Drosophila melanogaster: one gene and its partner. The protein of the gene in region 2 purifies or fractionates together with the protein of the main gene of each other region. This does not show direct contact. Each region holds a gene or a part of one and is shown on either strand. Other genes may lie near its edges.

What was found.
Region 1: the proteins of PIP4K (region 2) and CG32512 purify together in Drosophila melanogaster (affinity purification with mass spectrometry, with the first as the bait; one large-scale study listed by BioGRID). This does not show direct contact.

The regions. Positions count from the first base shown.
Region 1 is NC_004354.4:21,056,241-21,074,569, forward strand, and holds CG32512 (uncharacterized protein), read right to left. Parts: upstream 11,301-18,329; 5' UTR 10,980-11,300; coding exon 10,360-10,979; intron 8,349-10,359; exon of another isoform or gene 8,222-8,348; coding exon of another isoform or gene 8,211-8,221; intron 7,951-8,210; exon of another isoform or gene 7,904-7,950; intron 7,804-7,903; coding exon 7,562-7,803; intron 7,176-7,561; coding exon 6,727-7,175; 3' UTR 6,037-6,726; downstream 1-6,036. Other genes in the region: bves, read left to right, coding at 4,769-5,317.
Region 2 is NC_004353.4:1,185,333-1,199,020, forward strand, and holds PIP4K (phosphatidylinositol 5-phosphate 4-kinase), read right to left. Parts: upstream 11,517-13,688; 5' UTR 11,376-11,516; intron 11,146-11,375; 5' UTR 11,126-11,145; coding exon 10,988-11,125; intron 10,931-10,987; coding exon 10,833-10,930; intron 10,760-10,832; coding exon 10,510-10,759; intron 10,459-10,509; coding exon 10,328-10,458; intron 10,265-10,327; coding exon 10,096-10,264; intron 8,528-10,095; coding exon 8,376-8,527; intron 8,323-8,375; coding exon 8,228-8,322; intron 7,654-8,227; exon of another isoform or gene 7,439-7,653; coding exon 7,374-7,438; exon of another isoform or gene 7,321-7,373; coding exon 7,204-7,320; 3' UTR 7,087-7,203; downstream 1-7,086. Other genes in the region: CG33521 (uncharacterized protein), read left to right, coding at 1,186-1,302, 2,190-2,282, 2,403-2,548, 2,857-3,017, 3,722-4,357, 4,549-4,676, 4,735-5,217, 6,688-6,830 and 2 more.

The DNA of each region.
Region 1 (18,329 bases), on a different chromosome or scaffold from region 2:
TGAAAATTTCCTATCACTAAGAGCTAGCTGAAAATGTTAGTGGACCATTAGAGTAAGGTAATCCATCAATATTGCATGTATAGTATACTGATGTCGACCATTTCCTAACCCATTTAAATGGCCATTGAGTGATTAAGTGTTTTTGTTTATTTTTTCTTCGATTTCTGCTTTCGCCTCAAAATAATTTACACAATTTTTGCCGTGGCTGGCCCGTTTCGGGCCATAAAAACGATGTAAAATTTAATATGGCATATAGGGCGAGACAATGTTGCCTGTTGTCTGGTTATTGTTATTATTATTTTTGTTTACACGTGGGAAACGGAAATTGGTGGTGAGGGGCAAAAAAAAAACGGAGGACAGCAAAAAGTTGCCGCCGTTTCACTTTCGGCTCACCAGTCTCCACTTGCCCCACCAAAGTAGTTAAAATTTACAAATAACAAAGGAACAGTCGAGGAATCTTAAGAAATGCTGCAAGCGTTGTGTTTTACACAATTAATTCCACGTAATTAAGCCTTTACGAAGCTTATGACTTTAATGTCTGATCTTCCCTTTTTCGCCCTCTCTCTCTCACTCTCTCTCTCTCTCTTATTGTTTTTCGTTTCGTATTTTCCCTTCTATCGCCGGTTTCATTTCCAATTGTTGCCATACAAGTTCCGCTTCCAATTGGATTACGACCACAATTTGTCTGCGGGCCAAACACCAATTAGAATCGGGCGAGATATGGAATTGTGCGGGCGCCTTAGCTCCTTATAGCTCCTTATCGATATCTGAATGCCCTTTATTTTTAAAGTCAATTTTAATGCATTTATGTTTTTAAACATTCAGAGTGCTTAGTTCGAAGTACATGCATATGTACATAAGTCCAATCGGAAGTCCAAGGGGAATTTTTGCGTTTAGTAAATATATATTGTATTTCCTCCTATGATAGTTTTCTCCTTGCTGAAAAAGGGTAATTTCCATTTCGCTTGATAATACTCATCTATAAAACCCGCGACTTTCTCCATAATTATAATCATTTGCAGGGAAATTCAAACAAAAAATCGCTTACATGTAATAGCCAAATGCCATTTCTCATTAGATGATGCCCCCCACGACGATTTCACGATGATTGCCACTGAGCAAACATCAATTGCTGGACAAAGGCAATCGATGACTTCGTCGTGAAAAAATGGGGTTGGGGGAGTCAAGAGGGACTTCATATCGGCCATTAAACCCACACTTTTCCGATATCGTCATTGGCCACTGGCATGTCATTCAACCCACCCTATTTCACATGATTTTCACCCGGCGACTTTTCCTTTCTGCTCGCAGTTATCAGTCGCAAACTATTGGGATTTTCGCAAGAAAAGTCTTTCCTTTTAAGTTGTCTTTTTTATCGTTCTTCGAAATTAAAAAACGTAAAAACTTTGAAAATTAACTGCATTATTTAAACCTAATTTAAGTCATTGTCTTTATTCAATTCCTCAATGTTTTAGGTTAGTTTTGAGCTCTTAGTTAACATAGTAAGTGTAACTTTTATGCAGGTCATTTCATAGTTGCACCTATAGCTATTTATTATTTTTAAATGTAGTTTCATGTTTTCTTTCACTTGTACTACATATTTGTTTGTGTTTTTCTAGTTTTTGAATCTTGCTTCGTTCGCATTGTACCCATTTTACTTTTGGCTATGGACTTAAATTTAAGCGAAGTCGCGCTTAGTTGTATTTGCATTTGTTGTTTTGTATTTTTTTGTTTTGTTTTTCGTGTTGTATGTGTGTGTGTTTTTTTTTTTCAAGGCAACAAAGCGATGACTTCATCTTCTCTGCCCACATTTTTGTTGTTGCCACACAATGTGTGTGCGTGCGTTGGTGTGGATATACCCTTTATGGAAAGTATTTGGAGTTTTTGAGTTTGGGCGCGCTCGGGAGAAAGCATTAAACCAATAAACCAAACCAAAATCACCATATATTATAAACATTACTTTATATACATAAATATGTATGCACATATCTTAAAAAATTGTTATTTCAACACGGACCTAAAGTCCATAAAATATAAAAAATTGAATTATATTGTGCTTGTATTATCCATAAGCAATTTATTGATTGTCCGTATGAACGTGAACTTTATGATCTGGAATATTTGGACTTAGATTACAGATTCAAGTGACAGTGCAGTGCAATATTGAAATTTAAATTTTGAACGCCCCCCCTATTAATGCTTTTTCCTAATTTTCTGGCCAAATTCTACCAATTCTATCTAATATATGTATTCCAAACATCTACCTATACTTCAACTAGCTAGCTAATCACCAAAAAGAACAAAAGAATTTGTTAAAAAAATAAGTTTTAAATAAATGAAGATTTTTAGAACGACGTCAGGAAATATGAGTAATACGTATATCCTCCGCTAGGTGGCGCTCGTCGATATTCAAGACCGGACAACTCTTCATTTGCTACGCTGTAGATATTCGGAATAGAATAGATAGGCCAACGTTTTTTAAAAATTTCTTTGACCGAGGCCAAGAACAAGCACTCTTTTCTCTATTCTGGGTGGTAAATGTTCATTCCGTTTTTAGGGTATTTGCATTTCGTTAACACTCAACTGATTTACATTGCTTTTTTTGTGTTGCTGCTGCACACCCCCGAAGAGTTGATGATAATGACGAGGAAGTGTTGGCCTTGTTTGTTTTTGTGACTGATGTGTGTCACTTGCGCCGCTATCATCATTATCGTTATTAGGCGCACGCCAAAGACATTGTGGCAGTGCAGTCAATATGCAAAGTGTTGAGTAACAGTCCACATCACTAGCGCATTATGATCATCATCGTGGACGTCAGACTGACTGCCTGTCATCGGTTGGTTGACCACTGTCAATAATCACACTGAGAGAAAATCCTGTATCGTAGATATGTTATGGTAAATTAGAATTTGAATATCGTATCGCCATCGTGATCAGGTCAAGACATCATCAAGACGCCATCAAGATCGGGTCAATGCTCACATTATTTTAGTTGGCATTGTCGAAAAGTTTGGAAATGTTATCTTCTGGGCTTTTCTTTTTCTTCCAGTGCATGGGCGACCACGAACTTTGCGACATCAAATTGATTATTTCGATGCCCTTCTTTGTCGCTCTTGTATCCACAATTTCTCCCTTTTCTTTTCACACTATCTTTCCTGCTCGTTGGCTTTGTTTTATTATTCATGTCCAGGCCGGAAATGTTTCGTTTTCCAGTCGCACTCACCAGACCAACCCCAATACCATAAACTATATGGGGACCACGGACCGTATAGACCATGCCCTCGCCCACTTTTGGCCACTTTCCCAGTGTTTTTAGTGTTTTTTTTTTTTTGTTCGGCTGGCGTTCTTTTTTGGGGTCAGCAAACAAAACTCGCACCCGTTGTTTGCTTTGTTCTATATGTGTATATACTCTCTGGAGTGCTTTTGGCCAAGTTTTGTTGGCCTGGTCGAGTCGGAAACAGGTTGTGCGGATCTCTGTCGGCCGAAAAAAAAAAAAAATAAAATAAAAAAATAACATTGCAGATAGTCTTTGCTTCCGTGAATTTCAGTGGATTTTGCTATGATTTATACCCGATTACCTAGATTTTTTGTAGATTTTCGCATGATATACAATATTACGGGTTTCTGAGAATTTATACGGAATTTTGGGTGCGTCGTGATCTGAAGTTACGAGAAGAAGTCGCTAAAGTTCATATCTACATACTGTATGTATGTCCACATCTGTATGTACTATTAGTCAGCCGAGATTCATAATCATATTAAATGTTTATAAACAATTACTTTAACTCCGATGAGTACTCAGCGCCTTTGTTACTAATCAGTATTGTATTAAATTCCTCTTGAGGTCTGTAATGTGTTTTATAAATATCAATATCAGTAGTCAATAACAAAATACTTATTGAGAGAATAAATAACAAACTGTAAAAATATAATTCTTTTGAATTGCATTATGTACATTTCTGTTTGTAATAAGTAGTCCGTCATCTGATATCCTTTCCCTAGTCTACTCAAGGAGTAATAATTCAAGGAGTGGCTACACTCCAAGAACTGGGGCATTCACTAGCAGCTGTAAGAGTTCACAGCGGGGCTTTACTGTTGGTGTTGCAATATCCATTAATAGTTAATTAATAAATTGCCAAAGCCAATTACTATCGCATTTATTCAGCAACTGCCCCTACTTAACATTTCTTTGCCTAATTCGTTAGCTGAAACTGGAAACTTTCTTGACAACGTTTTTTCAATTTCTTTCAGCAGCTGCCTAAGCGATGCAAAATGTGACAGGCGGCAGCAGCAGTAGCCTCATCAAAGGTTAGCTCACCAATAGCCCCAGCTAAATATTAAACAAATACGGAAATAAGAGTCTAAGGCCATTAACTAAACGGCTGACTAAGCTGTAAAATGCAAAGTAATTCAAATTTCAACTAGCTAGGATATGAACCGCAAGCAAAAAATACATTCAAGACACCAACCGCAAAGCACAAACATTTTGAAAAGGGCAGCAGCAATAACAAAACAAACCACCACCAACAAAGGTTGAGGAAAACCGCGCGTAAGCAACAACAAACGAATTAGGCGAAGGAGAGAAAGGTGGAAGATAGAAACAAAAGGCAGATTTTTGGCATTCGCCTAGCGTGGACAACAACCAACCAGTACATCAACCAATCAATTTGGTAATTAGGCAAAATACGTGCTGCAAAAAATAGCTCAACGATCAGGCTGAGAGGAGAGTGACAGACTGAAACGAAGGCAGTTCGCCTGGATCAACGGAATGCCCAGCACGGCGGGCAGTGCAGCTGGCGTTGGTATGGGCGCCCTGATCAACAGTGCCGGCAGCAGCGCCAGTAGTGTCATGGGCATTGGCATGGGCAGAGCAGCTGCTACGGGAGCAGGAGCACCAGGCAGTTCGGGATCTGGAGCAGATGCCTCCGCCGCCGGCACTTTAATCGCCCAGAGCACGGCGGGAACGAGCGCCGCCAGCAGTGGAACGATCACCTGGGACAACAATGGAACCCTGCGATCGATCAATCCCGGCGATTGGTCCATCGAACAGTGCCTCGGGCCACATCACCTGTACTTTCAGCTCGGCTGGGCCTTTCTCTTCCTAGCCTTTTTGGCTCCACACGGTCCCTACGGCGCCCTGTGGATGCGTGCCATGCTGCTCATTGGCTGCCTGATGATGGGCATGCATGGCTACTTGGTGGCCTTTGCACCGGACGTCATCCTGTGGTCGGGCATGGGACTTTTTGTCAACTTCATCTATCTCGTCGTGGTGCTATGCCGGCTGAGGCCTGTGCGATTCGAGCAGGAAATCGAAGCGGTAAGTGGATATATGTATATACCGTAAACTAATAATAATAATAATAATAATAATAAAACAATTATTATGACTTAGAAATTCCTGTTTTATATTGCAATTACAAATGAAAACTTAGGGACATGCTGAAGAGTTACCTCAGTAAACGTCTTTAAATAACTGCTTATTTTAAAGCATATTATTTATATTCTTTTCCCCAGAAATCCAACTCAAGCTTACATTTAATTTTTCCAAAGCCGAGAAGTAGGCAATCCACTCGATTAATTCATCTTCTTGACATCTTTTTAAAGATCTAATGTACATATGAGCCGCAAGAAAAAGAATCATTTAAATTTTACACATTGATTGGATATTTTTATTGATGTGTAAAATCCCAAATAAGAAGACTTTACTCGTTGAGTTTTTGTAAGAAACTAATTTTATTTGGAAATATCTTCGGTTTAAATAGGTGACATGAGAATCGCATCTTAAAGTAAATGGCCTACGCAGAGGCCTAAGTAAATAGTCCCCGCCTTATCGAGGTCCCACGCTCGGGCACATCTGCCTATCTTGAGCGGCGAGGACCTTATCTGTGGTCTCCCACTAAGGGACTATTTTAGGAGGCGGGGAACGATCTCAAGTGACTGACTCATGTAGTGTGCACTTAAATTACATGTTTTTGAGCAATGCACCCATGTCGCCTTAGATAACAAAATCCTAAATATAATTTATCGCTCTCGATTCATTTACATAAGATATGAACGGAGCCCAAAATTGTAAGTCTTTAAATATATTCGTGTTCATGTGTGAACAGATGTATGGTTTTTTTTTTGTGTTTTTGTTTCTTTTTGTGCTTTTTTGGTTTTTGATTTTGTTTCTTTTGTTGTTGTTTTTGTTTGTTTGTTTTAATATAAATTACATTCACTTAATATCCGCACTTAAAACAGAGAAAAACATAGTTTTCGGTGGATTAATAAATAACAGAAGAAAATTAATGAATGAGACAAAAAAAAAAAAACAGTATAATTAATTATCAATAGGCTATTAATTAATAACTTCTTGTAAATTATTGGCTATCAACTCTAGGCTAAATGTGCTGTGGTTTGCGGGTGGGTGTTTTGTTTTGGGAGTTTTGGGCTGAGTTTATCACAGGAAATCAGATTGGAAAGGTCGTCGCAAACAAGGCGTCCTTGGGAGAAATTAAATATTTTCGTGCATGGGCGTATGGGTGGTGTGGGCGTGTGTGGGGCGGAGGAAGGGCATTTGGGGCCGGATGGAGGACCAGTTCAAAAACTCAAGTGTTCAATAAGCCATATTTGAATTTGAGACATTTATCGAACGTGGAACGTACAGTAGTAGTAATGTGTGTGTGTGTGTATGCGTTGTTATGTGGTGGATACCTAAATCTATAAATTCTTCACTTCGGGCTTGCCTTAGCTAAGGCGTATTTTCGATGCCAGAAAATACAGCTGCAGGCAGGTGGTCAGCATGACCGTCATATTGCCAATGGCGATGGTCATGTGAATGCGCCGGAATCCCTTGTGGATGCGCTGATAGTGCGGGCAGTCGACGAGGTCGCCCTGGACAAGGCTGCCCACCTCCTGGCCACTGCCGATCGCATCCTCGATCCTGTACTTCTCGTGCATCAGCTGCAGCATCGGTGGCACCAGGTACAGGCGCACCACCACCTCAATTCCCGCCGCCAGGGCCAGCGATCCCATCTGGATGCCCGCCGATGTCGTCCATCCGCTGAGGAAATACTTGGCATACACCACCAGCATCGTCAGACTGAGCATGGCGTTCAGGGCGAAGTAGCGCGGGAAGAGGATCTGCTGGCACTGCCCGAAAACGTGGCGGGGCAGAGAGAAATACAGCGAGAGTCCTGCAAGGATGTGCAAAAAATTAGACTTGCTAGTAATCGGTTTTTATTTACTGCCCAACAATTCTACAAAATGTAATTACGATTTTTGGCGGAATGGCGCACAAATGAAGCGAGTGTGTGTTGATCGGCTTAAAGAAATGTATTATTAAATTGGTTGATCTTGGCAATGGAATCAGTGATCAGTGACCATTTCATATGCTGAAACCTTGACGAACTGAATGTTATGGCTAGACCATCTTCACAGTACTTCGTTCGCTGAGATGAGTCAATGAATTTCCTCAATGGCATTATGCATTATGAGCTTCATCTAGGAAACAATGAATGTTTGGGATGCTCATGTGTGATCCCTGAAGATCAGAAAAGTCCTGCGATATGGGGACACTTACCCGAGACAAATGTCATCCAGATCTGAGACCCAAAGTGGGTGGCAAAGGCGCCCAGGAAGACCAAGGCCGCCATAACTCCGCCCGTTGCTGTTCTCGTCGATGCTGCTGTTGCAGACGCTGCTGCTTCTGCTGTTGCCACCGTTGTCGTTGGGTCGATGAGGTCGCGTCCCACAGTCATCAGCACAAAGGCCAAGATGCAAACAGCTATCAAGTGTGCTGGCTGTGTCGTACGCGTCAGAATTCTGCAATGGGAGAGTAATGTTTTTTGTCAAATAGTACGAATTTAAATTTAGAAGTTAACATTATTTTAATGAAGTTTTAATGTTGGAAAAGAAGACTAACTTTCTACCAGACCATCGGCATTTGATCGAAATGTATCGAATTGATCGCACAGTATCGATTATTATCGATCATGGCTCAAAACTGGGGTTCTGTAAACATATTGATATAAGTACATATGTATGTACATATACATATGTATGTATGTGTGTTTCTGTCTCAAGGCCATGAGGTCTATTTTCTTGATTGAAGTGCTTTTGTGACCCGTTCGGTTCAATTCCTGTTGTGAACTTATAACTTATAAATGCAATAGCTACGCAATTGACGATGGTCTAAACTCCGCGGGAAAATGGGTTATGGGGGTACCCACGTGGCCCTCATGTCCGATTAGATTTGATTTGCGGCGAACTTTTGCACCGATTGCGATCGTGCGAATTCACCGTCTCCTTTTCCCCCACGTTATGGCTATCCCTTTCTGTTCGTGTCTACGCATTTGTTGCGTCTCCGTCTCCCCACCAACCCTTCCTAGTCTGGCATTTTGCATATCCGTCTGTTACGTTTTTATGTCTTTTTTGCACACTTTTTTCGCCGTTCGTTTTTGTTTTTGTCGCGCGGCGAATAGAGCCCAAGTGGCGTACGTGCGCAAACGCATGCAACCGAATATTGTATATTTTCGCCGCCCCCCCCCCCCCCCACTATTACCCTCTCTCTCTGTTGCTCTCGAGGGGACCATAACTAAAAGCCAGAAATTGGCAATCTCTATGCGGTATTCATAGCAAAAAAGCGTGGATAATGCAGCTTTGTACTTGCACTTGGGGCGAATTCAGTGGAATCAGCTGGCGACCAGCTGATAAAACGATAAAACGCGGCGAACGCAGCTGATTTATGGACAGGGGTGAAGAAAAGACAGCAAGTCCATACTACAGTTGCAGTCAACATATTAGGCCAGCCATAAATGCAAATATTGATTTAATAAATTTTTTCAAACTTGCAACTAAATAACTCAATCGACTGGTAACGAACGGTCTTGCCGCGACATCACTTTTAAATCAATCGTCCTTCCTTGCATGCTACAGTTTTTCCCCGGACTGTATGCACGCGAAAGCTCTTCCCGATGACGTAGGACCCGGATCGCACTTTGCACTCCAGCAGGTGGTTGGTTGCGGATTGGGCGAGAGAGCGAGCCAACAAGAGCGGGTGATTCAGGGGGTTTTAGGGAACTCTATTGACATGCCAATTGTCGTCATAGCGCCCCACTGACCGCAAGATAACGACCGTTTCTAGACACACCCCCGCGCCACCCGAGGTTTAACATATCGCTTGACATTGAGTCAGCATTACGGTCAAGGCGAATATCACTTGATCGTATTTTTAGACTCACGCACTTGTCGTTAGTAATGCGGCCTAGAGGCCCAAATTCCCGTGAATCACCAACAGAAATTGGGGCTTACGTTAACTAAGGTTAGGAAAGGAGGGGTTCTTCTGTTTGGCTATGCAATTGTTAATAAATTATTCCATTTCTTGGGGTTCCACTGTGGCGATCGATATCGTGCAGGTCACGAGTTTGGCGTCTGCTGCCAGGCATTATCAATGGGGTGCTAACAATCTGTTTAATGGTCTTCGTTGTATTTCGCTTTCTGGCCAAAGCTGTTCAGAAAGTTTGAGAGTGCTGCAAATCAGTTTAGTGTTTAGTAGCTGTGACATTTTAGTTAAATACATACATACATATATTGTTAAACTTAGTCTAATAGTCTTTAATGCTTATGTTAAGAAGCCACTTTAGTGTGTTAATAGACCAACGACAGACGTTTCTTGTGTCTGCTGTTTGCATAACGGTTGTACGCCCCAGACAACAGCAGACGGTGGAAAAATTCTACGCTTATATTTGCATTTATAAATATCAATATAGGGGCGTGATCAGCATGATCCGCAGCCGTGACAATGAACTGATAAGAGCTGATAGTGGCGCTAGCATTTAGGATTTCCTTCCTTCGTCAGCTGATGAATTTATTGGTACATATTTAGTAACAGGGGGCGTGCTATATGCCGACCAATGATCGCTACAAAATAATCTTTATGATACATACAGATCAATTTTACTTCGGGTAACTCAATATTCTCCCGTAAATATTAACTTCATTGGCTATTTTTAGAAGTATTTGCACTTTGTGATCATACAAATACAAAATATTCGCCGTCAACGGAGTAAAACTACCAATAAGTTAATTGGATTCGCAACAGAGTTGTTAACAGAACTAATGGAATAATAGAAACTGCACTAAGAGTCAAAAACCTGAATTGTAGAAAAACTAGCAGATATTTTATTTTAAGCGGCACTATCCAAATGTTAAATATTTTAAAGTGACTTAAGTGGCAGTATGCGAATATATTAGAAAGTTTCAACGGAACTCTATCTCCTAAATTTGTAGCAGGTAATTATTGAAATGAGACAACTTAGGAGTCCAGTTGAAAGATGATGGATGATGTGTTTTAGCGGGGAATAATGGTGGGAGACTTACGTGTACAGGCGACTGGCCTGCAGCTTGGCCACCAGGCAGGTGATTCGCTCGGACACCTGCCTAGTCATCTGGGTGCCGATGGCCAGGGCGTCGTCCATTGACGGCTCCATGGAGCTCAGCTTGCGCTGCTGTTGAGCCTTCAGGGCGGCGGCGGGCGTGCTGGTGGCCAAGGGCTCCTCCTCCTGCAACTCCATCTCCTTGAGCATCTGCTGCTGCTGCTCCTGCTGCAGCTTGCGAAATCGCGGGCAGAATCGTAAGAGGTCGCTTCTGGGTGTGGGGGCCGGTGAGATGACCTTTGGACTGGTTGTCATATCCGCCGACGGCGACGATTTCAAAACGGTTTCGGTAACGCCGCTATCCTCGCTATCGCTGCCGGTGACCGAGGAGGACGAGGAGGAGGAGGAGGAGTCGCTGGCGCTACTGCTTAGCTCGAGTTCCTCAAGGAACTGCTGTTCCCTGTGCAGATCCTTTTCCAGATCTCTCCGCTGCTGCTCCTTCTTCTCGCGCTTCTTCAGCGTGTACTTGACACTCTTCACCGCCTTCGATGGCATCCCACAGGCCATGTAGCGCTCGATCTGCTGCTCGTTGTTTTTCTCCACGATCCCTGAATTGTGGCACATCTTTGCATTGGTTTCTGTGGCTCCTCTTTGAATTGATAATCCTTTTTAGATGCTCTGTATTCTTTTTGGCACTCTTCTTTGTCTCGCTTCGCACAGCAAAAAAATTTAATGGGGGTTACTTAACTTTCCGTTTGTATATTTTAAATATTGGATTTTGGGATTTTTCTACACCGCGCTTTCGGATCGGTTTGTGGGTTTTGACTGCGATTCTAACGTGGGGTTGGGTTAATATTTGGGGTGGTTATTTTTTTTTTTTTTGGATTCCGGGGGGACCAAGTGCGACACGCGGCGCGTTGAGGTGTGCGATTTTGAATGGGAAGTCGCCGCTGCCATTAGCTTTTATATATACCGCCGACAACGCCAGTTCTTGCGCCAACGGCGCTGCCCGCTCTGCTTCCGCTCTCTTCGGACGCGGCGAACGCTCCGCTCTCTTCGGGATCTACATTTTGCACTCCGATCGAATCGGCGGAGCTGATGCAACAGTGGGACTAATGGCGGTGCCCAGTGGGTTGCCCAGTAGTCCAGATCAGCATGATCGCGTGCTTTCTTATCCGCAAAGTGCATTTGCCTTTATAACCGTAAAAGCCAAACACTTGGATTGATAGATGGCTTTATTGTTATATCGTTATATATATATATCGATCGACTGTGTAATTATATGTAAAGCTACCAATATATGTAATACTACCAATAAGATAAAATCTGTACTAGGATGTATATTTCCAACGCTTGGAAATGAAAATCAGACAATTGAACAGATCGATGATCCATAGATCTGTGTCACTCCAATCTATATAGTAATCTAAATATAATATGTAAAATGTATTAACTATCGTATACAAATTAAGCCATATATTCAGACAATCAATCGTATGATTTAAAATGGAACCGAACAGATAAGATTAGTCAATTGGTCTGCGATTATTGGCATTGGTTTATAAATTTAGCAAAACAATTGACTCAATTCCAGTTTCGTTTGAATCAATTTGAAATTGTTTGGTTTTTTTTTTTTTAACATTGGTGTCAACCCACTTAAGCCGGATTGCAAATCCCACTGTGCGATGCGTTTAAACTGGATTATCCCAAAAAGAGCGGCCGTTGGGAGGCTGGGCTTCAGCTGGCGATCTCTTAAATCTAGCGAGGTTTTTAAGAGAGCCGCCGCCTTATCAACAGCAAGTCTCAATTAATGGTGGCTGTCACGCTGCGATCGTTTGGCATTATATGCCGCCTTATAAGCACCTGACAAATGGATGCCACATGTGAATAGTTAGTGGCCCAACCTTCAGACGTTTATTTTTTTCGATTTTTTTCGCCAGAAACTTTCCAACAATGTTGCGCCGAAAAAGTGTGGAATCCACAGCGGGATGCAAATGCCTTGAATTCCTGCGACGTCACCAGCGCGTTCGAGCAATCCCCGCCTAATGCACACATACATACATATGTATCCATATGTACATTGGATCCACCGATTCTGGTTTATCACCAGTGAGTCGTCGGCTTAAATTCGGCGAATGGCTTCGATCACTTGCGTCGTGGGGAACGATTTCTTATTTCGATTTCGGAGAAACTCCCCAACGGATATTTAATATTCTGTTACCCATTCGGGGGGAAAAACTTTTCCACCCACCCCCCGGATTTTGTGGGTATTAGACACATTTGCCACTGACGCAAGACATCTGCAAGAAATCACAGGTGAATCATATGGAAAAGAACACGTTCAGCTCAGCACTGATCACTCGATGAATATATAATACAAAGCAATGATTAAACTAAACGGTAGTTGAGCAAGTAGCTAACTATACATGCAAACATAATCCATTTACACTTTGATAGTAGATCGTAGACTCTTAGAAAGTAGCCGCAGCCCAATTCGAAATGCTAATGATAACGAAAATCTGGTTGGGTGAATCACCCAGTGATTCAGTGGGGCTTGACGAGGATCGCCTCCTAGCCAGATCAGTTAAAAGTCCCCCACTGAAACTGACCACTTCTTGCGATGTGGCAAATCTTTCGCACAAATAAAAAAAATAACGTGCTGGCAAAAAATAGAATAAACGAACTGTTTACTGTTTGATTAAAATTCACTTGATTAAGCTGGGCGTGAAGAGACTAATCATGGACAATCAGCGAACGGGACCATGTCATTATCCCCGATTCACCGCAGCACCCAGCACCCTGCGATAAATCCGCAGAGCACCGATTCTTGAGAGCCACGATGAGTGGGCAAGAAATCACGGCCAGTGCACGATGTCCGGCCAAATTGGGTGACCAAAAGCGGATTTAATGGCAGTATTTGTATGCACCATAAGGAGGCGATCGGCCAAAAACGATCGGAGGAGGGATCTACGTCCGGCCAGACAAATCGAAGCGAATCGAAATGGTTGGGAGTGCGACTGGGATTTGAACCGCAATTAGATAATGAGCAGTTTGTGGGCAGCCATCGAACGGCGATCGACGCGATCGGCCATGCCAGGAATCGTATATAGAAAGTACTCTCCATGTACATCTTATCGATTCGAGTTGATCCCCTTGTCATGTGCCGCACGTTCCGCGAGTTGGCGGCTCCAAAGAAAAATTAAATTAAAATCAATAATATTATTAATGAATGAATCGAATCTTCAAGTCGAAAATCTACAAATGGCAGTCAATCGATCAATCAGTCAGTCGAACAAATCAAGCACTCCGAAACAAGAGGGGAACAATTTACCAAGATCAAAGGTTGCCTACCTACCACCAAGAATGTTAGAACAGATGATCGTCCAAATATTCCTTTACCTTTATTTCTATTCATTAAAGTTGCAGCTTAACCATAAATTAGCCAGTCTGTACTTTAGCAAAGCAATGAAAATGTTGATATAATAAGGTGCTCCCTTAAAGCTATACATATAATTTAAATTCCTTGCAGTTGTAACCACAAAGAGATACATCATTGTGAAAATATATTGTATATATTTTACGTCCACTAAATCAATCATCAAATAGGTCGCTAATTTGTGATATGTGGACTGGTTAATGATATAACGATTAAGCGAACTATTCATAGAATTTTGACATTAACTAGTTTATAAATTATTTTGGACCACGTGGCACGGAATGCTGTAAACAATACAAAATTTACGAATCCAATTGGTATCTATTATATTTGAACAGTAAATTTATTATACATCATCCGTCAATGGTTCTCATGGTGAATAGCAATGTGATGTATTTGAAGATGCTGAAGATTAACTATTAAATTGTTTTATAATAACACTATGTATTTGGTAATAGCTGAAGTTTTCGATATTCGTGAAGGTTTTAGCCATGCTGCTTTGCTTTAGCATAATATTCATAATTTTTCGTTGAAAATAGTTTATAGTTTATAGTTTTGCCGGTTTGCTAGTGTTTTTCTTCGGAAGGCAGGGGTACGTGGGCCAAGTCTGGTTCTGTTTTTTTTATTCCCAGCTGGCGTTGTGGCAAATTCCATTCCGTTTTTCCTCCAATGCGGACGTGCCGGCCGGCTTTCGCGTCATATGGGCCAGCAAATGCGGACGGATGAAAGGTGACCGAAAAAGAGCGGATCGGGGGATCCATTAGACGGCTAGGGGACACTCGGTGATGTTTTTATTTCTGCACCTGACGCACACCGAGCGTTTATGCAGAAGAGAGGAACTTGGAGAGCCGTCGAAAGACATATGCGTCAGCATCAGCTGTCCAATGTGGCAATCATTCGACAGAAGAGGGCGATGTGGCCAACACACCCACACCACCCTCTTTCGTCTCACAGTACCGCCTCCTTTTCCACACCCACCCACGCGCCTTCACTCAATCATTGTGCGAAGTGCGGCGTAATCCCTTGGTGGAAAAAACAAAAACAGCGAACCACGTGAGCGGCCTAAGCAGATCCAGATATAAGGGGTACGTACATATGTATGTATATACATATGTACATATGTCTACTGGGTGCCGCCACGCCCATCACCCACACGCCTTCTTTCCTGGAATCACATGAGTCACCTAAATCACTCGAGAAATGAGACGTAGATCACTGACAGCTCAATTAGCACTGAAAATGGCGGGGAAATTTAATCAATTTGGGGGCAAACTGAAGCAAAGAAATACATAATTGTATATTTCTTTTCACGATGTTCATAGGTACTGTTATGTGGTTAAAAGATTCTAACCCTAAAACGGCTAAAAATATGTTTGTATATATGTACATATGTTATATGTTCTTAAAATATCGTTCACATATTTGTTTTTCAAGATCTTTAAATGTTATTACTACATTTTTGTGGACTTATACACTTTTAATGGATTTACCCGGAAACTTTCAAAAGTAAACAACGTTTGAAAAATATAATTAAGTGTGCATCATACCGTAAATAGGTTATCAACATTTCAGCAACAGCTGAAAATGCCCAATTTTGGTATTTCACCATTTGCACGGCAATTTTAACGGTTGACGGCCATGATAAGCAACCAGAAAGTGGCGAAAAACTTCTAGAGAGTGGGAGAGAAAACTCCGCTGCAGTTCAGTCGGTTGTTATCAGCAGCAGTTGCTTGTTGACGACAATCGATTCTGATTCTGATTCTGCTTCCAATACTGTTAACCAGCTCTCCATTGTTCACACAACGCAGTCGTGTGCAACCATCGACATTTGTTTGCTTTTTTGTTTTTGTTTTCGAACGGCCCACTGTTGCCGACTGCCCGTTACTTCTGCGACTCTCTTAAAGTCGAAGGTAGAGAAGGAAGAGAGCCTCTCTTTGGGGGGGCTTATCATCAGGTTCAATGGCTCTCGAGTGCGAATGAATGCTTGCTTTCCCACCGATCTTCATCGCTCTCTCTATGATCTACAATATATGCGCATTTGGGCAGGTCAGTTAGGAGGGAATAAGAAGCGGAAAAAGACATAAAACAGAGCCATAAAACCAACGATCGATCGAGTGGGGAAATAATTAAACCCGATCAGCGATAATTAAACCGCATAAGTGTCCCCATAATGGATCGATCGATCGTCATCTGCGGCATGCCCCATGAGAATTCTTCGCAATTAAGAGGCTGCGATCAAAGAATGTTCTTCGCAGTGATCTTTGGCTCGGTGGATAGATTAAGACAATCAGTTGGCAGAATTCCAGAAGAATTCCACCAGTTGTTAGGCAAAATGAAATTATTAATAAACTGCTCATGCAGATTGTGCAATTTATGATTCATTTATTGCCCTAATTACTTGATTAATGCATTTATAAGTATTTTATAAGTTAAACTAAGTTAATGGTTATGAACAGTCTTTAGATAACACATTGATTTTTAAGAATGTAGCACGTACGGTTGAGTTTCCCATTCCGGTAAACGGAATCGTTGGATTATTCCTATTGATAAGTGATCAATTCATTCATTTAACTAACTTTCAATTCATCCTTAACCGTGTAAACTCATTCAGGGCTTCAGGCCCAGTGAATCCTTTTTGGCCATTAAGAAGTCAATTGAATCTGCCTCGGGAAGCAACTGTTCCGATCTCATTCAGAGATTGGCCAAAGTAGAGCATTATCTCTGGCCGACGATCGTTCGCAAATTGCTCTGTTTCGGTTTTAATACTTATGTGTACTTTTTATTTATTTTTTTTTTTTTTTTTTGAATTCTTCGCTATCATTGATTTCAATTTGCAAATTGCGAGCGGTACAGCGGAATGGTGCTTTGTTTCCCACAGCAAAGGAATAACGACCTCATCCCCGTTCCCATATTTCCATTCGACGGCGGTCCATCATGTATATGTGGCGGCTGTCCAGCCGGCAGTTCATCATCATCTAGAGGCCGCTTATCTGCCTCATCTGTACACAGCGAGCAATTCTTGGGAATTGGACGCACGCTGGTGCAACAAATGAACTAAAAGATATGAAGTTACTTTAATGTACATATATACTCATAAAGGATTAAACCTTTATCTGAATTGAATTATTATAATTCTAATTGCTTGCCTGCTGGACATCTGATCCATTGAGCTAATTTGATTGGCAATTTAGTTGATGGGCTAATTTTTTTCTTAGTGTATCCGTATCTGTGCCTGCTACTCTTCGTTCTCAGCGCCTGTGTGGATTTGGATTTCATTTGTAATGCTTTTTTTGTGGCTCTCTGAGCTGCGCTTGATGCTTGGTGGTGGTGCTCAGTGGTTCAGTGGCTCGGTGGTTTGGTGATTCGGTGGCTTGGTGGCTCGGTGGCTTGGTGGCTCTGTGGAGACTGGCCTACGTGACTCGGGAATCCGCGGCAATGTCCGACGACCGACTGGCGACCGGCGACTGTTGCAAATCGAAACGATTCGCTGGATCCGCTGGATTCGCCAGCAAAACCTGCCCCGGATCACAATTTGTCCGACGCCCGGGCAAGCCTCTTGATTATGTTATTTATTTATTTAGCCATGCTCGTTAATGTTTAATGTTATTGCCGCGCGTCGCTAGCGTATGAAAAAATTAAGCGACGAAATCCAATCGAAATAAAACCTCATTCGCATTCGGGCCACTTTGAAAGTCCCTTCTGTGAAGTCGACTTCGTTGGACCCTGACCAAAAACTCTTAACTAACCTTAAACTGACACAAAATTATTGCAGCGAGTCATTATTTGTTGTCAATCAAATGGTAACAAAATTGAAAAAATATACGAAAAATACCTATGTACATCAATTTGAAAAGGTATTGAATATCTTTATATTTATGCAGTATTATTGCTAAAGCATACATTTGAACGTTGTCAATTTAAAGGGCACAGAAAGTGCACGAAATTGCATTTTATCATTTTATGTTTTATCGAAGAACCTATATACCTTTCAGATACGGTTGAGAAAAATTGAAAACTGCTGGCGTTTCATGTTGCGAGCTGCAATACGACCACCGCCGATGTTGCAGTAGTGAGTGCTGCTACTGCCCCGATCCATGGTAGCCCACCTGGATGGAGCAGAGCGGGATCGGGGGCTAGAGCCGGCCAAGCTGCTGGCACGTCTAACGGCTGCGTCAGCAAAACGCACGATATTTTGCATGGCGACAAGTTAACGCTGTCGTGTGTGGCTGTTGCTACCTCGAGTCTTACATTTCGGCCATGTGACCGCCGGCTTGGCTCTTCGATCTCGAGAGGGTTGGGAACGGGTTGGCGTGGGGTGGGGTGGTGTGGTCCCCCCAAAAAAACTGGTCGCAGCTCATCCACGCCCACGCTACATAAGCACACGGAAAGAAAACCGTCGCACTTGAAATGGATGTTCTTTTCTTATTTTTTTCTTTTAGAAACATATATGTTTTTCTTGACTTTGGGTTTTTAAACTAAACGAAAGGTTTCTGTGTGTTTGAAGAGGACAAGTTCCTTTGAAGTCCTTAGCAGTGTTC
Region 2 (13,688 bases):
AGTATAATGAGCCATAGTTACGTTGTTTAATTCATCCTATGTTTGTCCCTATAAATAATTTAAGAGTACACAAACATGGTCGTAGAAGCCAGCTACCTTTAATTTTTTAACTTAAACGCCTACAAATTAAAACAAGTGAGATCGTTTAGCGAGCACTCTCAGAAAGAGCCTATTCGTCTTTATTTTTATATATCGCATCCTCCTCGCACTCCTGCTAGCTGAATCTGATAGTCATTCTTTCTTGCTTTGGGTCTGTTTATGCAGATCTGTATTAGAAATAGAATGTCTTGCAGGTATATTTCTTTTTATACGGGTCTCAACTCCAAATGTGCATTTTACATTCTTAAAAGCTTTTAATAATTTTCAAAGAGAGCTTTTACTCATTTAAAATAAACTCATTTTTGAACATTGTATCTACAACATGCACACAATCTGACAACGCAAAGAATTTTGTCGAGTATACACAAAAAACAGTCGGTCTTCAACTTCCGAACGTTAATAGGTAATGATTAAACACCCAGAAAAGTCTACTTTTAGCAACTTTTACTTTAAGCAATTAGTTAATATAATCATTAATAATTTGTTGAACCATCATCGATGACACACTTTGTTGCACCCAAAATAATTTAACAAGGTAAATACCATTTGTGAAATAATTTCTATATATTAAAATGCATATATTTTGTCCATCATTTAAATATACATTTATCAGCCAATACATAACTTTATAATACAATGCCGAAGATTCGTTGAGTGTGTATTCGTAGAAAAGCTTCCTAATTATATAAATATCCTAGGTAGAGATCGGTAATAGGTATCATAAATAAATTTGCTATTTTTCCCAGAGTTCAACGTGTTCTTCAAAATAATGAAAATTTTAACAAAAGGTGTGAGTTCACATTTTCGAACCGGTGTTAAGCAAACGCTTTTTAATAGTATGCATTTTTAAGCCAAATTAAATTTTCGTATATCAACCTGTTTAATAAACTATTTCAGAATTTTAAAATAGCGTTCTGCAGAACAGGCAGAGACAACATTTTTAATTGTGTCTTACACAATCAGTACTGGGCAACCCTTGGACAGTTTCTCATACCTATCCGATGATCACAGTCAAGTAAAATAATTAAAATTTTATTTCAGCGACGTCTGCACTTTAAAATTTACCAGCAAGCCGTTTAAACTAACATGGACAGTCTAAACCCCCAAAGTTCAAAAATATCTTTCGGAAATGGATTACCCTTAAAAAAAAAAAAAACTAAGAAATCAAAAACAAATGAATATGATAACCAAAATATAAATATGGTAAGATTTTGTGGATTTTTCTAGTTTTAAGAAATATGTACATATATGTATGTATGTACATATATATGTATGCAGGAAAAATATTTATTAATATTTATAAGTTTCGTTAATTACAATGTGAGAAATAGCAACACAAAGTAAATAATGTGTTGCATGTGTTAATAATAAAACATGAAAAGTCTAGTGACACTTCTTCAGAGAACAAGTTTGTTTGCTATGTAAAGTATATATATATTCTTGATCAGGATCAATAGCCGATTCCATCTGACCATGTCCGTCCGTATGCACGTCTAGATCTCAGTAACTTTAAAAGTTAGACAGTTGAGGTGAGACATAAAGATTCGAGAGCTGCAGCGCAAGTTTGTTTCCAAATGTTGACACGCCATCTCTAACGGCCACTAACCGGCCAAACCTGCAACTTCTGCAAAATATGTTCTATCGATATGTCAAAAAATGTTGAAAATTCTCTAGCTGGCTTAATGGGTATCCGATTGTCGGGATCAAGAGGGAAGTCGCCTATAACGCTTTTACCAATAGGCCATGAACATTACGGTTAAATCCCTACTGTAAACTTTTTTATTAAATTAAGAATTTAAGGCGTACCTGACCTGACCACAAAAAGTCGTGAGCAATAAAAGTAACTGCCGCTTTGTGGCGATAGTTTACAATCTCTTAAACAGTACCCTATCTTATTTCATATAATCATCTCCCTCGCGCTCTTTTAACCTGAGTATTGAACTTAAATAGCCTCTATGGTATTACTGGGTATATTGTAACGGAAATACATCTCACCCATTCTAACAATGTGTATCATACAAATATCTATTTTTTATGTATACATTCCTACCAACTTATATTGCTTAAATTACAACTCTTATATTTTCTAGAAAAAAAGTTTTACGAAATTCGATGATCTACAAAAACGTAATGTTATTCATGTACGTTCACGAGATTCTAAAAAAGCTCAATCACTTTTTCGAGTAAGCTAAGTATCATAAAGATAACGCATTACATTTACAAAATAACAAAAGGTGGTCGATTTTTTAACTTAAATCAATTTAATCAGCTGCTTGTAAATTTAATTTCCTTCCTTTTACCAGTCTACAATACCTGAGAAGGTTGAAAACTGCCACCAATGCAAGAAACCCGTGTACAAAATGGAGGAAGTCATTCTTAGTTTGAAGACAGCAACGACTATTTTCCATAAAACGTGCTTACGTTGCAAGGACTGTGGCAAACACCTTAAGTGAGTACCGAAAAAAATATATATTATAATATACTTTAAACTTTGTTGAACCAATAATAATATACGTCGTAACCATCGATGAATTCAATCAAACTCATTGAAAAGTATGTATCACGTTGAAATATGGTTTTCCGAGTCCTTACAGTATTCATAAATTTAAAATCGATCTAGTCCGTCTATCCCTATAAACGCCGAGGTCTAGAAGTTTTAATCTTATTTTACAGTTAATGTCGTTTGTAAGCTCTATAAGCAATCTAACAATTTTATTTTATTTTCGATTTTTATTCTTATTTTGTAATAACCCACAGATTTGATAGCTATAATGTTCATGATGGAAGTCTATATTGCTCTATGCACTTTAAATTAATATTCGCCCCGAAAGTAGTTTACGAAGAATTTACCCCACGAAAAGCCGAACTGATAATACGAGAGAATCAGCCAATTAAATTACCGCCGGATGTTGCTAAAGGTAAGAATAATTCTTCAAGATTTTCTCTTGAGAAGAATACCAGTTGTTATTATTATAAGTGTCACATTATCGAAAAACATGAACTTCAATATACTGGTGTTTTCTAAAGTTTCACCTTTTTATAATCATATTTTCACATTTCTTTAAAAAAAATTATATTCATTTTTATTCAAAAATTCTGGTTATATTTTTTGTAATAATATAAAGAATATTCACAATTTATAGATACATTTCTGAATAACTTTTTGATCTGATACAAAAAAAAATATCATTTCGAGAAAAACATTTGAAAAAAATGGGTTTCGGCACTCAATTTCAATTTCATTTTTTAATTTAAATGGACCTTATATATTTTAATAATCTTTCCCCTTTTCCGTGTTAGACCTGTGCAAAAAAATTGTTATATAGTTTTGCTTACGATTTAGTCAGTCAACACAACAAATTCGATTCTCTTTGGCATCTGAATTGTTTTCCCCATTTTCACTGGAAGAGGATGAAAGACTATAATATACCCAGAAAAGGGGCGAGAAGTCAATAACACATATCATTCGTCGTTCCAGCCAGATTAAGTAGTAAACTTTTTTCTTATATTGTGTTCATGAAATGTGGAAAATGTACTAATAAAAAATTTATTCATTTTATTCAACATACATTTATGGTAAGAATGAATATATATAATCAAATATAATTATTAACTATTTTAGCATCCGATAAACCAAGTCTTGGCCTTGACGAGCTCCAAGAACTTAATCTGCGCTCAAAATTTAAAGTTTTCGAAAATGGCTATGAAGAACATAACAATAATTTACGAGAACGTCAAGATATTGCTATTACGCATAGCAAGTCAATACAGTCTACACTGACTAAGTTTCATGGGCTAGGGATACCTAATTCAGAACTAACCAAATTAGACGATAAAAACAGTGACAATAATAGTGATGGCGATGGCGACATGAATTTTATGTGCTTAAAAAAGGAGATCGAAAGAGAAACCCCTGTAGGCTTGGGGGAAGCCATGAACGATATAAGATCTAAGTTTGAGCAAGGTGACTTAATGGCAAAGGAAGGGCGCCGCGAGGAAAGAAAACAAGAAATACAAAACATACGCTCTCGATTGTTTCTGGGTAAACAAGCCAAAATAAAAGAAATGTATAAATTAGCTGTTGCTGAATCAGAACAACCCGTTACATCAGTTGGCAAAACCCCAGATATTTGTGCTATTAAGCCCACTCAGGAAATAAAGAACCGATTTGAGAACGGTGAAGTTTATAAAGATAGTAAGATACTATCAAGCGAAGTAAGTTGTGGTATTCATGAGGATGCGGATGTATTCGAATCTGGTAAGGCTATACTATAACAGCCTTCGTAACAGCACAGTTAATTGCAAAATAGGCACTTGTGTAAAACTGCGCACTATGTATTTTTACTAATTTTTTCGTAGTTTGTGTTTTTACGAACCTGTTATAAGTAAAGTATATCTTAATATAATAATAGCTTTGCTAAATATACCTAACCTTTTTTAATAATACAGGAATAAGCAAAGCATCAAGAAACATCTTTATGAAACTAGATGCAAATATAAAATCGGGTTTAAGCAATCATGTACAATATACCCTCCCCGATAAAAAATATCAGATACATAATCAAAAAGTGCAGGAGGTGAGTCTATAATTAAAAAAGTTAGAACGTTCTTATTTTCATAACTTAAAAAATACAGAATAGCGATGTTGAAATTGTCAAATCCGACTCAAAGCCAGAAGAAGTTAAGGTCGCCACTGAAGAGTTGTCAAAAAAGTTTAAATTCTTCGAAACATATTCTCCGGCCGAAAATAAAAAAAGGATATTCCGCATGACACCGCCACGTGAGGGCGTTGTAATGTTTCCACCTCCTGACTCCGAAACGAATCAACAAATTAGCACGACTTTATTCAATGATAACATTTTGCAGAAAACGAAAACAACGTCCACTATTTTAAATAAGTTTCGCGAAATGGAGGAACAAAAAATGAGTGATCAACAAAAAAAAAAAAACCCAAAGCCATTGAAGTGTTTTACTCCACCACCTGAAATTTCACATCAATTTATTAGATCAGATACTGAGGAGGAAAGCGACAGTGACTACGAACAAAATAGTGAAAACGACGAAGAGTCTGAAATTAACCCTTCAAACTCTTATTACAACGATAAGGCACTTCTCGAGGTAAGATTTTCTTAAACTTCAATGAAAAGCCCAAACATTATATTATATATATTATATGCGTTTTATATGCGTTTTATGCATTATGCTTATTTATCTACTTGAGACAGGCGTTATGAACGTTTTTTAAATGAATTTCAATCGTACCTTATTATAACCGTTACTCGTAGATTAAAAAGTAGATTCCTTGAAAAGTATGTATATGCAGATTTTTAAAAATGTTTTGATTGGTATACCCGTGTATTGGTAACAGGCAGAAAGAAGCGTTTCCGACCATAAAAGTATATATATTCTTGATCAGGGGATCAATAGCCGACTCGATCTGGCCCTGCCCGTCCGTCTGTCTGCCTGTCCGTATGAACGTCGAGATCTCAGGAACTATTAAAGCTAGAAGGTTAAGATTAAGCATACAGATTCTAGAAACATAAACCCAGCGTAAGTTTGTTGACCCATGTTGCCACGCCCACTCTAATACCCACACACCACCCAAAACTGCTACACTCACACTTTTGTAAATTGTTTGGATATTTTTTCATAATTTTATTAGTATTGTAAATTTCTATGATTTTTCGAACAAATTTTTGACACGCCCTCTCTTACGCCCACAATTTGCTCAAAACTGCCACGGCCACAATTTAGCAAAAAGTTTTGATCTTTTTTAATTTTTTATTGCTCTTGTAAATTTCTATAAATTTACCAAAATACTTTTTGCCCCGCCCAAAACTTTCACGCCCACACCTTTCCATTTTAAAATTTTTTTAAATCTTTTTTAAAGAGTGAATGCTAACTCTTGCTATACCCGTTACACATAAAGTAAAAGGGTATTCTAGTTTTGTTTCAAAGTATGTAACAGGTAGAAGGAAACGTTTGCAACCTTATAACGTACATATATTATTGATCAGGATCAATAGATTCTAAAGACATAGACGTAGCGCAAGTTTGTTGACCCATGTTGCCCTAATTTGGCCATGCCCACAAACCGGTCCCACACCCACACTTTTGTAAATTTTAGTTTATTATATGTATTTCCAGTTTTTTTCGGTGTTTTTTTTTTTTATTATTTTTATCTATGAGTAACGAACATTTATACATTTTTTTTGATTGTGTATCTCACATATATATCAATATGGCAAAAACGTCCACGTACGCCCACTATAACGGCCAAACATTTTTTATTGTAAGCCTGCCTGTGGTCAAAGTTCTTTAAAATTAGATTCGATGAAATTTTGTAATTACATGTAATTGCTGTAGGAGAAGTCCTCGACAAAGAGAATGCTACGAACCTGCTCCTCGCTAAATCTATTACATAATAAGTTTAATTCGGTGATCTTGGTACTACCTTTTCAAGAAAAAGTTGGCCAGTGTAATAAGTCCTGTACTCCCAATAACAACTAAAGAGTCTTTAATGTTTTATAGCTTTAAGTTACCAGAAGTAATTACAAAGTACATTAAATACACTTCTCGTTTTTTTAGGCGCAAAGTGTTGCACGAGCTAAGCAATTGAGAGCGAAATTTGAAAAATGGCAAAATAACGAAATAGAACAAGAAATAAAGGAAGGTCGCATTGATGTATATTCACAGCTTATTTCAAACGAATCTATTGAAAGTGCCAAAGCGTAAGATCAAACTTACTTATGTATCTTGACTAATTTGCAAGGTAATGGTCCTTTAATTTCAGAATACGGGAACGCTTTGAAAATATGAAAAAATCGGAAACTGCTATGGAGAACCCATCAAAAACTCAAATAAAACGTTTTGTTGTAAGTGCAGTAGAATAAATATCCTTACCCGACTCACCAATTTTTTCTAGTAACATCGTGATGGTCACTAAATCCGAATTATTTCTAAATGGATATTTAAGGCAATATATTTGCATTCGTCCAAAAGATGATCATCTGGAAGCTTCAAAATAATATCTTATATTTTATGTCTTAGATAAATACATTTTTGACATTTTGAATGTGGCAAATACATAATGAGTATAATACTTTATTCTATAGCTTTATCCATAAAGTCCAAGAATCGTTTGGCATATTGTTCAGGGTCACAGGTTGATATACCGTCAACATTACTGCCATATTTAACAGTTTTGGCTGCTTTAGCTGCCTAAAATATGCTGTTAAAATTACAACCTTTCTTTTAAGTATTAAATGAAATACCTGTTTTTTTACTCCATATTGTGTAAGAACGTCAATAATTGCAATAAAGTAAATTTCGCGTTTTTCTGCAATACAGTTCAAAATATACATTAATTCTCTAATTTTAATACCGGTAGTATTAGTGGCAAAACGGTAGAAGTGATTGGACCAAAAAATTAAAATGTGCACTAAGAAACCAGTAATAGAAATCTCATTAGTTAACAACTGAAATTTAAATTTATTAATGGGGTTCTATTAAAATAGTTTTTACCTGCATTGTATGTCAAAGAACAAAGTATTTATTTATTCTTTATAAATTTATTCTTAATAATATTTATTATTAAATATATTAAAGAATAATATTTATTCTTTAATAAATTATTTAAATAAATTGAATGTAATGTAAATTGGTGTAAGGTTATCACACATTTTTGCTTAACTATATTGTACCCCTTGTATAAGCGCAATGCACGAAACACATCAAATGAAGCGAAATGGTCACGATAGTTGACGATTGAAGCAACTGAAATTTTATGATGATTGCCACTAAAAGAGTGATTCCCAAGTCTGATTGAAGCTACGATCTTAACTGCTGAATCAGAAGAGAAAGTTTAAGTATCCTATTCAGAAATCGGTACTCCCCGGTGTTTTAATCATGCATAAAATGGAAAAACAACATATATTGTTTTTCCAAATATTTTGGGTAAAATCTTAAAAAAACGAGCTTTAACGTAAATTTTGTTTCAATTTTTTTACGTCATAAGCACGCACGCATCATTTTCAAAAACTTGAAAAATATAAAAACGACCAATATAAAAATGCTCTTTGTTAAGTTATCAGGGCTATTGCGTACAAAACTTTTAAACTACATTTACCTTCAATACTTGGAATGTCATATATATCAACTTCATAAACGACTTCCTTATACTGTGCACCTCTTGGAGAATCGGGAGGAGTGTTATACGTCCAGCTTTAACAAGAACTGCGTACATTTAAGGCTTAAATAAAATAATTTTTATTTACCGTTCCCCGCTATCGCATTCCTCGCTTTCGCTGTTCTCACTGCGACCAACAGTTAGTATATTATCTCCCTGCAAAGCTTCCTCCTCTGCACGAACACAGTCATGCACGCCGACCAACAAAGAGTAATCCATAATGTGCAACTTGGTTAAAAGCTAAAATAAATTATATGTCACCATATGCTATCAAAAAGTATTGGTAATTTATATTTATAAATAAATAAATTATCAAGTCATGCAAGACATAATTATATCTACTGGTTATATAGGTTAAACTACAACAATTTAAAGGTTTTTAGATAAATTTGTTCAGATTAAATGGTTTTCAAGTACCACTTCGTAGGACTTTTTTTTATGAATTAGATTTAACGCAATATGCTTGAAAATGGCAGCACATTCGTATGATTTTCAAGACCTGAAATTTATATAAAATGTGCAAGGCGACAAATTTGTAGTCCCTATGAATTAATAACATTCAAGATATGTAAGACGATGATCCTCGATATGTTAATTGCACTCCTTATAGCACTTACAGCTTCCCAAATTTCGATGTTTCAGATCGATTCAACAAGTCTAGTCGTCGCAAGCTGAATACTCTAATGACAAATATTCTAATATAAAGTCATTTTTGAAATTTATTTTCTGGTATTATGTACATAGAAGATTAGGCTATTATTATTTCTAAGCTATATTTAAATAAAAACAACGTTAAGGCAATTCAAAACAAATAAATTTGTACATGGTGCCAATTGATCAAAAATAATGTAGATTTAAAGTCTAAGAACTTCTAAGATGAAGGGCTTATTTCGTCAAATTTACAATGCATGAGCATACGTACAGTTGTCGGCTGTCACTGTACGCGTAGAAAAGAGCTGCTGGCTGTAGAGATTTCCGCTCTCTCGCTCTTGAACAAAAATTCGAGAGAGCCTGGAGCCACCTCTAAAGCCACGCCAAAAAAATCGTATGGCGTTACGCATCTTGTTATTCTATAGTCTTTGGTAAATTGGTATACTATATTGGTACTATTGGTACGCGTAGAAAAGAGCTGCTGGCTGTAGAGATTTCCGCTCTCTCGCTCTTGAACAAAAATTCGAGAGAGCCTGGAGCCACCTCTAAAGCCACGCCAAAAAAAAATCGTATGGCGTTACGCATCTTGTTATTCTATTGTCTTTGGTAAATTGGTATACTATATTTGTTGGAAAGTATATAACAGGTAATATGAAGCGTTTCGGACGCTATATTCCTGATCAGGATCAATGTCTGAATCCGAACGTCAATCCTTATGACCGCCTTGATCTCAGAAACTATTAAATGAAGACATGAAGATTTGAACTTTTGAATATTGTTTTTATATTTTTTCATATTTTTTTTAGTCTTGTAAATTTCTATTGATATGCCAAAAAACTTATTGCCACCTGTCGCCCACATTTATAACAAATTTTATTTAATTTTATTAGTTGTGTCGCAGTTTCTAGCGAACTTCTTCGTCCAGTCAATTCACATTTTTCTCCTCCCATCTAATGCCGTTAATATTAGGGCAACTAGTTGGGGAACCCGACTATAGCGTTCTCCCTTGTTTCTCATTTGATTCCCCAATTAAATTTCGCTTTGACTTTCCACTAGCTGAGTAACGGATATCTGATAGTCGGGAAACTCGCATTCTTTCTTGTTTAAATTTTGATAAAAACAATTATTATACGAATAAAATAAAAATTTTTGCTTACATCCACATCGTTGCTCAGCGTGTCCATTAGTTTGTCCTTAGCTTCCTTTCCAATGTCTAATTTCACTTTTTGTTTTATAAAATCATTGTCCTTGAAAGTCGGCAAATTTTTTTCAAGTTCCTTTTCTGATGCTTCCCGATCAACGGTGCTACCTTTTAAATCAAACTTTCTATCGAATAAATAATGGTTATACTATACATATAATCGGTGTAACTTTCAACATATTTCATACTTGTGTATTGTCAAGTGGGAGCTGAAAACATTCCTCATGACAACGAAGTAATATTGCACGCTTTCTACAGTGATACGATACATTCCCAAGTATTGAGGTAACAGCGTTTTTCCGTGTCTCTCCACAACGTACTAAAAATTATAATAAGGATATTTTAGTCAATTAAACCATACTTTACTCACCGGATGGTATTGCTTTAAAAATGCGTGCATTCGTTCAATTTCTTCCGATGTCAAACTTTTTATTATAAAAAACTTATCATAACTCTGATAAAATTGCGCTCCTGATTTTCCAGACGAATCAATTTGAATAGGTTGGGATCGAGTTAAGGACTCGCGGTAATCAACATCATCAACGCCAAATCTTTCACGTAAATTTCGAAACACAAGGGGGCAATATTCCTTGACTTTGAAATGTGACGGCATGTTTTCTCTGTAGTGGATATAATAACAGGAAAATACCAACGATTGAGAATATCAAAAATGTATTTGTTTTGGTTTCTTACTTATTAAATAGATGATTATCCACCTTAATTTTAGAATAAGCTCGAAAATCGTCCGGCAAAAGCATTACAGGTATATTAACGTGACTTAATTCATTAATCTGGAAATATTTCAAATTAGCTTATCTTGCCTTTCTTGTTTAATATTTGTTACATACAGTGTGATTTATTCCCCACATGAACACACTTAAAATTGGTTCATTGGCTCTAAATAATTTAACCTTTTGATGCTTAACCCTGAAGTGCTTCTTTTTTAAAATCCGGGGCTGGGATGACGATGAGATCTTTTTTTCCATATTTTGGGTGGCTAAAATTACTAAAATCAAAAATATAGTTTAACATTACTGAACAAATTAAGCAAAGTTAAATTTAGAGCTGATGAGCCACTTAAAAAACTAATATTTTTAATAATACATGCTGTAACATTGAATATATACATTCACTTATATATCTATATACACATATAGCCCAAAATTGATTAATACAATGTATAGAGTTGCACGTAAATTGTTTACCAATTTACATTAAACAGAACTTTGGTATTACATTTTATTGAAAACTAAAATAACCCAGCGTTCATAATAAATTTAGTTTACTTTGCAGATATGATTATTGTATTTTACAATGACTCGCAGGCTTTTGAACAGACAAATTTGTAGTTTACATAAATTTATAATATGAAATACCTTATCGATAAATTCAGATATGTATTTATTGTTTTTTATATCGGCTTATGAAACGCCGTTTCCACTTAAAAGTAATTCTGATATCACAAACTATTTAATACTTTAACTCTTAAATCTTCTAAATACTTCTATGCTTCTAAAAGGACTTCAGAGAGTTGAAAATCTTTTAATAATAGCAAGCAATACTCAAGAGAAACAATTTAGATCAAACAAAGAGACTAACCGCATTGTATATTAAATATAAAGGTTTTTGTAGGAGTTGTTTTTAGAAAACCAAAAGCACGTGCTCTGATATGAAGACAAATTTAAAGTGGAACACAAATGTGAGTTGATCGAAATTCTCTGCCATATTAGCGCTCGGGAAAAATTGAATTTATAAAATAAAATATAATCGGGCAAGCTCCGGTATTCGAATTCGTAAGAATTTTACGATTTCGATTTAAAATCGAAAAACTGGTGCTCCTGTGTTCGAATTCGTAAGAATCTTACGATTTCGATGTGAAATCGAAAAATTGGTGCTCCGGTTTTTGAATTCGCAAGAATTTTTCACTTTTGTTTGGCCGAAATGAAAAGTAAATGCCTATATTTATATCAAATCAGATCTTAGTGGTACCTTCTTTACTCCACATCACCCCACAAGATCATTCTGCCACATAGATATCTTATAAAATATTTATTTCTGATTAAACCTCAGATTTGACAAACAACATGTTGCCTTCGGCTACAAAAATTTTCGATCTTTTGATTTGTAAAACGGGCACTTTTGTTTGGCCATAACAGATCTTAGATCTTAGTGGTCCATTGTTTACTCCACATAACCCCACAAGATTATTCTGCGACATAGATATTTTATAGAAAAATTATTTCTGACCCCACCTCAGATTAGTGGTCCATTGTTTACTCCACATAACCCCACAAGATTATTCTGCGACATAGATATTTTATAGAAAAATTATTTCTGACCCCACCTCAGATTTGCCATACAAAATTTTGCCGTCGGCAACAAAAATTTTCGATTTGGCAAGAGGTCATATGTACGAAGGTAAAAATACTTATAAAATTTAAAAAATTGTGAATAAGATGGCCGCTCTATGGTCTGAAACAGCTGTTTACTGTTTATGAAGCATCCCGATATCAGAAATGTTGCGAAAACCAGAGCACCTAAAAACGAAATCGAAAGATTTTGCCCAAATCCAAAAAATGACCATTACCAGAGCATGCCGGAATAACTTCATTAGTTTTTATTAATTTGTTTTTAATCTGTTTACACCGTTACTTTACGATTCGGCTTGCCAAAGATAACTTTCTTAATTCAATTACGAAAATAAAGCTGCATGCTTTATTGTTCATGTTTTGACAATAATAAAAGCACAATAAATATTTATTTTTAACGTTTTATGAATAACGTTTATGAATATTTTGTAGAAAAAACAATGCTGAAAATATCTTTTGTGTTAGAGTCGGTTAACACTTCCCCTTTTCAGTAGAGTCGGAAAAAACTGAAGTACATCGGATAAATAATCATACCAAACTACTTCATTCTGTTTAAAACTTTCGATTTGATAGCTGTTTTGTATTTTAATTTTCTTATTTAAAAATATATATATTTTATATATTTCAAAGTGAAATGTAATATGATAAGTTTAAAAATTTAAAATTAATCTAATAAGAAAAAGAAAATCCTAATAAGGGGAAGAGTAAAAATACTTAAAAACTTTAGGAGAAAGAAACTTTAGTTGTATCACTTTTGTCTAAGAAGCCGCTATATATAGCTTGATTTCTTTCCTTCATAATATGATAATTATGCAAATTACATATATTTAGTTATATTTAGTTAAATTGTCGTTGTACATTGAATGATTTTTTTTACTATATTGATAGTAAAATACAAGATAATTATATCTTAAAATTTTATTGAGATACTGGCAGTTCTCTAAGCTCTTTTAACATCACGATATATGTGCGATCACTTACTGTCATATTCTCACCACTATTAAAAGCTCTATACGTGTTATGAAACTTTAGGTATTCATTAGTAGTTCCGAATCTTTAACTGCTGAGGCGAAATTATGTGAACTTCATAATTAGTAAAAAATAAAAATTGTTCTATGTATATTGTTAGTTGGGTATATAAAATTTCCTAAGTATAAAAAATTTAATCCTAAATATGACG